2 linked regions of the Caenorhabditis elegans genome follow. The protein of the gene in region 2 purifies or fractionates together with the protein of the main gene of each other region. This does not show direct contact. Each region holds a gene or a part of one and is shown on either strand. Other genes may lie near its edges.

Region 1 (3,989 bases), on a different chromosome or scaffold from region 2:
GAGTGACTCTGCCAAAGTGATTAACACATTTAGATTTGTTTTAAATAAAAATTCAAATACGATATACATAAGTTCATAATCTTTTTAAAAAAATGTATTCAACTTTCAAATTAATCCTTCAATAATTTCAGCATACTTCAAGCTAACTGAAAATGGCCGTGAAAAATGTCGTAGACAAAGGAATATCATAATTGGCTTTCTATCAAAAATGTGTCATTCACCAGGTGGAGGCGGAGAGCATCGTGTTGGAGAACTTCTGATGAGTATGAATTATCTCAGGGTTTGTTTATTTTTGTATAACAGCTATCCAGCAAACAAAGGATATTACAGGAATCTGCTCAAAAACTCACAACTTCTTACGTGATGCTCACAGTTTTCAATGTTCTCAACTGTGATTCAATGCTTCATGAAATGCTTAATTTTCAATACTAGCTAAATATTTGTGTGAAAGTGTTTTATTATGTTCAAATTTTATTGTTTTATCATGATCGTCAATAAAACAAGGGCAAATACTGTTTTACTACTTGATCTCTTACTACGTGATCTCTTTTACTATGATTTGCATACATAGATCTTTTACGACGTTTTACTCTTTTGCTACAACCGTATTTTTTACTCCGTTATCCCATTTCGATCTTTTGCTACAGTTTGTATCTTTTGTTACGGTGGACATTTTTACTACAATGACAAGGATTGTATCCTTTACTAATGATTTTTTACTACATACGAATTAAAAATTAATTTTCATAGTACATATATTCTAGATATGAACAAATGTATGAATATTTTTTAAAAATGCATAGGTCACAGTTTTAGTTTGTTCTCAAGTAGTTCTAGTAAATTTCAGTTGTTTTCTTTTGATGGGATACTGAGTTGGAGTTCATGGAGAGATACTGTTGGGTTACTGTAGTTGTACTGTGGTAGTAAGAGTTTTCAGATTATATCGTTTTTTTTTTTAATTTCTAGAAATTGATTCATTATGAAATGATCAGAACTTATTATGAACATTTGGCTCTAGATATTAAAAAAACACGATATGCTCTTTTGTTCTCTTGTAATCATGAATAAGGATCGCTAGATACCCACTCCTGTTTGTGCGCGATTATAAATAATCCCCGAAAGGACATTTCCAAAATTACCGTTTCCCTGGACATCGTTTTCCAAAAATACAAGCTCTAAACGAGAGCCCCTTGATGTTTTTTATTTGGTTCGAAATTTTATATGTCTGCATAATCTGAAAAATTAATTGGAAATTCCGAAGTTATGAAATACCGCGTGCAATTGTTCAAAATCTTTTATTCAAACTTCCGCCTTTTTGCCCGCGGCGGCCGCGTTTGTGAAAGTTCTTCCATTCGCTACGTACACCTCGTGGACAAAGTTAATTTCACTTTTTTAGAAGCATTTTCTGCAATTCTGTTCAATTTTTGTTTAATTCGTTACTCTAATCGTTTTGTTGTATCAATGTCAGCAAAAAGATTTTTATTCCAGTATTACGTAGATTTGTTTGTGTTTAGCCGACAAATTGAGCTTCACTATTGCGTAACCATTGTTTCCTTGAAAATAGAGCATATAAATTTTTTTCAGATAAATGTACAGAAGACTAGCCTCCGGCTTATATCAGGTAATTTAAACAATTTTGTTTACAGTGAAAGTAATTTATTTTTCAGACTTCCCAAAGAAGAATCGCACAAGTTCAGCCGAAATCAGTATTTGTCCCAGAAACAATTGTAACGACACTTCCGAATGGGTTCAGAGTTGCAACAGAAAACACAGGTGGATCTACTGCTACTGTAATTATTTTTCCTAAATTATTTGTTTGTTCAAAGCTATTTTTATTAGATCGGAGTATTTATTGATGCCGGCAGTCGCTACGAGAATGAGAAAAACAATGGAACAGCTCATTTTCTAGAGCATATGGCGTTCAAAGTTAGTTTAATTTAATTTTTAGAAAATTTTGAATTTCATATAAAAATCCGAATTTTTCAGGGAACGCCTCGCCGGACTCGAATGGGATTGGAGCTTGAAGTTGAAAATATTGGAGCTCATCTAAATGCGTACACTTCTAGAGAAAGCACGACGTATTATGCTAAATGTTTTACAGAAAAGCTTGACCAATGTAAGAAATAAAATTATTAATGCAATTTTTAAAATATCTATTCCGAATTGCAGCCGTCGATATTCTTTCGGATATTCTTCTGAACAGCAGTCTTGCCACTAAAGATATCGAAGCAGAACGTGGTGTAATTATTCGAGAAATGGAAGAAGTTGCACAAAACTTTCAAGAAGTTGTATTTGATATTCTTCATGCTGATGTTTTCAAAGGAAATCCTCTTTCCTATACAATTCTTGGTCCAATTGAATTAATTCAAACAATCAATAAGAATGATCTTCAAGGATATATTAATACACATTATCGAAGTGGCAGAATGGTATTAGCAGCAGCCGGAGGTGTCAATCATGATGCGATTGTTAAAATGGCAGAAAAATATTTCGGAGAGCTCAAGCATGGAGATTCTTCAACTGAATTCGTCCCAGCCACTTACAGTCCCTGTGAAGTCAGTTTTTGTTTGAATAAATTCGCTATCAGCAAATATTAAATAGAATTAACAAAATATATTTTTAAATGTTTACATTTCAGGTTCGAGGTGACATTCCAGATCTTCCAATGTTGTACGGAGCGATGGTTGTCGAAGGAGTATCTTGGACCCATGAAGATAATCTTGCCCTTATGGTGGCTAATACGGTACTTTTTTAAAAAATATTTTTATAACTTAGAAGTTGATAGTTCATCATTCCAGCTAATGGGTGAATACGATCGTATGCGTGGATTCGGCGTGAATGCTCCAACTCGCTTGGCTGAAAAATTGTCACAAGACGCAGGAATTGAGGTTTTCCAATCATTTAACACGTGCTATAAAGTAATGAATTCCTGGGAAAAAAAACTCTTTTTACATATTTCTGTAATTCAGGAGACAGGATTAGTTGGAACTTATTTCGTAGCTGCTCCGGAATCCATCGACAATCTTATTGATTCAGTTCTTCAACAATGGGTTTGGCTTGCGAACAGTGAGTTTTTATTTAACATAGTCCTGAGTCAACATCTTTCATTTCCAGACATTGATGAAGCAGCGGTTGATCGTGCCAAGCGCTCCCTGCATACGAATCTACTCCTAATGCTCGATGGCTCAACTCCAGTCTGTGAAGATATTGGTCGACAACTCCTTTGCTACGGTCGTCGGATACCAACTCCAGAATTACATGCCCGAATCGAATCAATCACAGTCCAGCAGCTCCGAGATGTTTGCCGACGTGTATTCCTTGAAGGACAGGTCTCTGCAGCAGTTGTTGGAAAGACGCAGTATTGGCCAGTTAATGAAGAAATTCATGGAAGATTGATCAGAATGCAATAGATACATGTGTTATAGTTTATTTGTTAGACAAACGTTTTGTTTTTGGTAAAAATAAATTCTAAAAACCCGTCAAAAAGTGAAAAATACAGCATCAGTCAATTGTAAATTGGAAGTGGGTGGGCTTCAGTGTTGAGAACCCATCGATCGAGTGGAAGGATTTCTTGATCATCAGCCATTAGAAGGTAAAGGTATTTGAGGGTCTCAGCAAGGAAGAATGATTCCATTTTGTCACGTCTGAATTTGAATGATTAAAAATTAAACAAAATGCTGACAAACCTTTTGATCTTCTTTCTGAGCACATTGTCAATTGAGCTGTATCCACCAGTTTCCACTTTTGCATACTTTTCAATCGACTCAAAAGCTTTCCATCCCCACTCTTGATATTTCTTATCTTTAGTAACACGATACAAATAGAACCACGCTTCAATTGCTTCTGGACGGAGAAGTGAATGAGCATCAAGATTCTTCACATAAGTATCCGCTTGTGTCATATCAGAACTATCCTCCATATTGAAATGTATTATTTCTGGTCCAAGTCCTGTTGGATTTTCATACATTTTATGACAAACATTTCCAATA
Region 2 (4,912 bases):
AAAACTCACGGTGAACTGTGGATTTATTGTGTTGAAGCCGTCAATATTTTGCAGATCGCAGAAACTGAAGAAAAAAAAATTATAATTCGAATTTTTCGCATAACTCATTTTCAAGAAAATTAGGGCGATGAAGAAACATAAGAACGAAAAAAAATTCTTAGCAAGAAAAAATGCCTTTCTTTCACACAAGAATGGCTAAAACGGGCGGAGCGTCGTTTCATCTAAGCTCTCTCACTTTTCAACGATTTCTAATGGCGAGTGCTCCGTTTTTGGTTGGTTGGGTGGTCAACAGAGAGGAGCGGCGGCGGCAAAAAAGGAATTGTTCTAAATCTCTCTGCTATGAGAACTCTCTAATTTCTCTCTTTTTTATGCGTTCTTTGACCGAAAACGAGGGAAAAAATGCGCTGAAAAATATTTTCAACTTCACGCAGAGGTCAGAGTGTCTCTTATATTCTCATTCTCCCTCGCCTGAGCCACCCTGACAACAACTAAAAGTTACCGTATTTAAAAAAAAAGGAATTCATTTTCATAAATCTAAAAATTTCAATAATTTTCTACTGATGAAATTGACTGAATCTTAAAAAAACTGACTGTAAAAAAACAACAAAAAAGACGGCAACTAAATGAGAACTACAGGAATACAAAAAAACGGACGAAAATGCATAGAAAAAACAAAAAAAAACAAAAGAGTGCCAGAAACCAGAAAGTGGTTTAAAAACTGGTTTTACGACAATCCTACAGCTACAGAGAAATATGAAAAACAAGAAGGGAAACAATTTTTTCAGCAAAAATTTAGAATTTTCGATCCGACTGTGACATGGCTAATTTGATTAAATGTTCCGTAGATTCATTGCGGTTGGGGAGGGATGAAGCCTGAAAAGTTTAATTTTTTTTTTCTATGTTTCAGTTTAAAAAATTACCATTTCAACAGCTTTTTGTGAATATGAATCAATCAATCTTCGCGTTTTATCCATTCCATCCGAATTTACAACAATTTCCCGTGCTTTTTCAGCATCTCCATCATGCTTGAATTTTCGAAGAAGCATCGTATTGAGCTCAGGATATTGCTCGCAAGCGTATAGTACCGGAGCAGTGGCGAGACCTAAAATATAAAAAATTTGAAAATTATTTTTTCTTCTTTTGCAAAAACTTGAAACTATATTATTCGTTTTCTTCTCAAAAAAACTCGTGGCGAGACCCACTCAGAAAACCATTTAAAATGAAGTGCCAAATTTTTACGAAATATCGGTAATTCCATTCACCTAATTTCAAATCAGCGGCCACAGGTTTTCCCATTTCATCAGCAGTCGCTATAAAATCAAGAAGATCGTCAGCAAGTTGGAAAGCGATTCCCAAATTTCGACCGTACTCGAACGCAATTTCATGAAGCTTCAAATCTGATCCATCTGAAAAAGGCCGATATGTTGCAAAGAAAATTGATGCAAAAACCACCTGCAAGAATAGCAGCAGACCGGCAACTACTGGCGAACAAACTGGCAGTTTTTCGATGAGTTTTTTCTATATAAGCCTTCATTCTGTCTACTGGTGTAGCATCTGTTGGAGTTGTTGACATTTGCATAAATTCACCCTAAAATATTATTTATTAGAAGAAAATTTGAAAATTTATAGCTGTATAAATATTCAAATTTCATTATAAATAAATAAATAAATTGATTAAAACCTACTAAAACCAAATCTTCAATAATCGACGCCATAACTGAAATGATGTTGGGTTTTCCGATGGAGCAAAGAATCTGCGTGGCACGAGCAAGAATGAAATCTCCGACGAGCACTGACTGAAAATGTTTTTTAACATAAATTTAGAAGTTTTTATCCCTAAAAACTTCTTCTAAGTTTACAAGAGAAAAATTTATGCGCAAGAGGTTACTGTAGAGCGACCAAATTTTCGATTTTTCTGTTTGCCAGGTTTTCACAGTTTTTCTCCAAAAAATATAGTTTTAATCAACATTTCTAAAATCTAAAAATAATTTTTTTGCAGAGAAAGCTGCTTTAAAAGCTGAAAATTTTGGAAAATTCAGCAAAAAAAGAATAAATTTGTCGGATTACAGTATCCAATTTGTTTTGAAAATTCTTTATTTTTTATAGATCGTGATATGTTATATTCAAGATTAAAATTTTGTTTTAATTTCAAAAAATCTACCATTTTATTTCCCCAAACAGCATTGACACTAGCTGATCCACGCCTTGTATTCGCCTCATCAATGACGTCATCGTGCACTAGAGACGCTGTATGGATCATTTCGGCTGTAAATTTCTTTATTTCTCTTTTCCGACTATTCATAGTCTTACCAATCATTCCTATTTTGTACTGATTTTGACATACTGATAAATGAGCGGCGATCCCTGATCGTTCTGTTGACAACATTGCCAGGTACTCTTCTCTGCAAAAAAACTTTTTTTCGTTTTTGATCAGTAAACATTTTATTAGTGAACATCAATACGGGCTGCCAAACTCCATTAGACTAACTACTGTTAGAATTGTACTACGACATGTGAAAAGTTAAATTGAAAATTGTTTTGAAAAGTTCATGGTATGTAGTCATTTCAGCACCATAGGAATATTTTAAAATTAGTTTCATTTTCATCAATATGAAGTTATGCCAAAAATAGCAAAATCATTTTCTCCTGTGCACTATCTACGTAAATCAGACTGCTCTTCTTTTTCAGATATAAAAAGTTTTCCATGTAATAAACTTACGAAATTGAACGATTCGCTGCGGAATTACAAGCATTTCCCATAAGAAGCGATACAGTCGGCCGTAACATTTTTCCACCCTGAAATTTTCAATGTCTATGAGTTGGAAAAATATATTTTTAGAAACCTGTTGAAAATAATAATGTGTCATTCGTCCTAAATTCGATGTAACATTCAAGTCTGCTAGATTTTCAACGGCACCCGATTCATCCTGTGGTATTAGTTGTACCATTATATCGTTCTGAAATTTCAGTTTTTTGGTTAAACTTTTATTGAATTTAGTGAATTATAAACCTGCATTTGTCTAACATGTTCCTGCACGAAAGCTGTTGAAGCAACACTATTATCTGATGAGGATGTAGATGTTGATGTGGCTGCCATTGAACATTTTCTGCAATTTTTTTTTGAATTTCGGAAATTTAAAATTTCAAAAGTTGTTACCTGAACTGCCTTGCGACAATATTGATTTTCGGTAGAACACCCATAATTATCTTCTATTCTTGATTCTTTATACCAGTTTTTGTTTCTTTCAGTGCTCAAAAACTAGTTTCACCGGCGGCTCATGTGGGTTTAGGAGGTCTGAAAGTGAATGAAGATAAGTTTTTTGAAAAGTGAATGATGCAAATTGAGGCTTCTGAGAATGCCAAAAGAGTCATTGATAACAGATATAACTGTCCATTCAGGAGAGGAAACAGCTGATAATTGAAATTCGCATTAAAGATGTGATTGACGTGATTAAAAGTAAAAAGGAGTATAGTTATAACCGAGAATTTTGAATAAATTATATTATTATAGCCTAAACACTTTGAAAATGCCAATGAAAATTTTGGAGTAATTTTGAGAGGAACTTTATTTTAATAATATCTCTGATTTTTTTTCAATGTTAGATTGGTAAATAATTTTTTGGATTAGAAAAGAAAATATAGAAACCAGGAACTAGTTTTTATATTTTTTTTATTTGCCAAATTTTGAATTGAATTCAATTTTATATACACTGATTGATTCAAGCAACCAGTGTACTTCTCAAGATTTTACAGTTTTCGACCATTTTCACTAATTATTGCATCAATTGGCATTTATATCACCAATTTATCTCTTATTTATAGTATGTTATCTGAAAACCATACGTCCATTTTTAAATATTGTTAAATACTTTAAATATTAGAGAATCATTATTTTCAACTAGAGATTCACAGAAGTCTCTCCGAATACAGTTTATTCGGAAAAATAAAAATAAATTAGTTGTTGTATAAAGGTGATCAGAAAGATGGAAAATGAATGTAGCCTCCCACTTTTCCCCTTTTCACCGCCGAAGATCGCTTCTCTTTTTCTCTGTGCTCTCTCTTTCTTACGCACTTCGTCCCTATCTCAGTGTTCTTTGAATTCTCTTTTCTCTAGCAAAAAAGAATATATTTTTTATCAAATTTTGTTTCTTTCTCTCTTTGGTTCGAGTTTATCGAGAATAAAGAAGATCGATAGATAATTTTCAAAAGGAACAAATAAAAATATTTGTGAAAAATTTGGTCAATCACCTTTGACAAGTAGATGAATCGGATTGAATCCATTTAACCGCCAAAACAAAAAGGTTATTGAAGAAATAGAAAGAATAAATATATTCATTCGTTTCTGTTAACATTGTTGATTGTTTTTGAATTTAAGATTCAAAAAATTTTTGAAATAAAATTGAATCTAAAAACAAAAAAAAGACAGGGATAGAGACATGGGAAAACGAAGAATAAAACCGCGCATCACAGACAGGAATTGACTAAAACTTTCAGAGAGATGAATAGGAAAGAAATGGATTTTGATTGGCAAAAGAACAACAATCCGATGGAATAACATAGTAATGTATAGTTTTTTGTGGAAATCGGGGATTAAATAGTTGTGTGTGGGGGGACCTCGTAGAAACCAAGAAATAAAACCAAAACCAATGGAAAATTGACCGAATAAAACTGAAAATTAAAAAAAAAGAACACCAGAGAAATGCAAAACAAGGCCATGTTGCAATTGTGATATAAAGCTCTGTTATAAACAAAAATGAAAAATCAAAGAAATTAAAGTTCCGTTTTGTCAAGAATTGTGTATCTCGAAGAAGCAGGCTTCAACTTCTCGAATGTAGACGGTGGTGGCTCAGTGTCCGGTGCTTGATTTCCAGTCTGAAATGTCTTACGAAAATTGTAAATATGGTCTTTGGAA

The links. The genes of interacting proteins can lie anywhere in the genome.
Region 1: the proteins of coq-1 (region 2) and mppb-1 fractionate together in Caenorhabditis elegans (co-fractionation; one large-scale study listed by BioGRID). This does not show direct contact.

What each region holds. Positions count from the first base shown.
Region 1 is NC_003282.8:9,073,089-9,077,077, forward strand, and holds mppb-1 (Mitochondrial-processing peptidase subunit beta), read left to right. Parts: upstream 1-1,584; 5' UTR 1,585-1,588; coding exon 1,589-1,621; intron 1,622-1,667; coding exon 1,668-1,790; intron 1,791-1,839; coding exon 1,840-1,926; intron 1,927-1,986; coding exon 1,987-2,116; intron 2,117-2,169; coding exon 2,170-2,555; intron 2,556-2,638; coding exon 2,639-2,743; intron 2,744-2,798; coding exon 2,799-2,918; intron 2,919-2,969; coding exon 2,970-3,066; intron 3,067-3,114; coding exon 3,115-3,410; 3' UTR 3,411-3,483; downstream 3,484-3,989. Other genes in the region: Nuclear hormone receptor family member nhr-11, read left to right, coding at 132-280, 331-432; mans-4 (alpha-1,2-Mannosidase), read right to left, coding at 3,506-3,644, 3,687-3,989. UniProt on the Caenorhabditis elegans protein: Catalytic subunit of the essential mitochondrial processing protease (MPP), which cleaves the mitochondrial sequence off newly imported precursors proteins. Preferentially, cleaves after an arginine at position P2.
Region 2 is NC_003279.8:5,412,335-5,417,246, forward strand, and holds coq-1 (All trans-polyprenyl-diphosphate synthase PDSS1), read right to left. Parts: upstream 3,296-4,912; 5' UTR 3,202-3,295; coding exon 3,158-3,201; intron 3,108-3,157; coding exon 3,011-3,107; intron 2,958-3,010; coding exon 2,844-2,957; intron 2,797-2,843; coding exon 2,720-2,796; intron 2,403-2,719; coding exon 2,311-2,402; intron 2,266-2,310; coding exon 2,162-2,265; intron 1,797-2,161; coding exon 1,686-1,796; intron 1,589-1,685; coding exon 1,453-1,588; intron 1,407-1,452; coding exon 1,263-1,406; intron 1,103-1,262; coding exon 921-1,102; intron 874-920; coding exon 793-873; 3' UTR 507-792; downstream 1-506. Other genes in the region: erp-44.1 (Thioredoxin domain-containing protein), read right to left, coding at 4,771-4,872.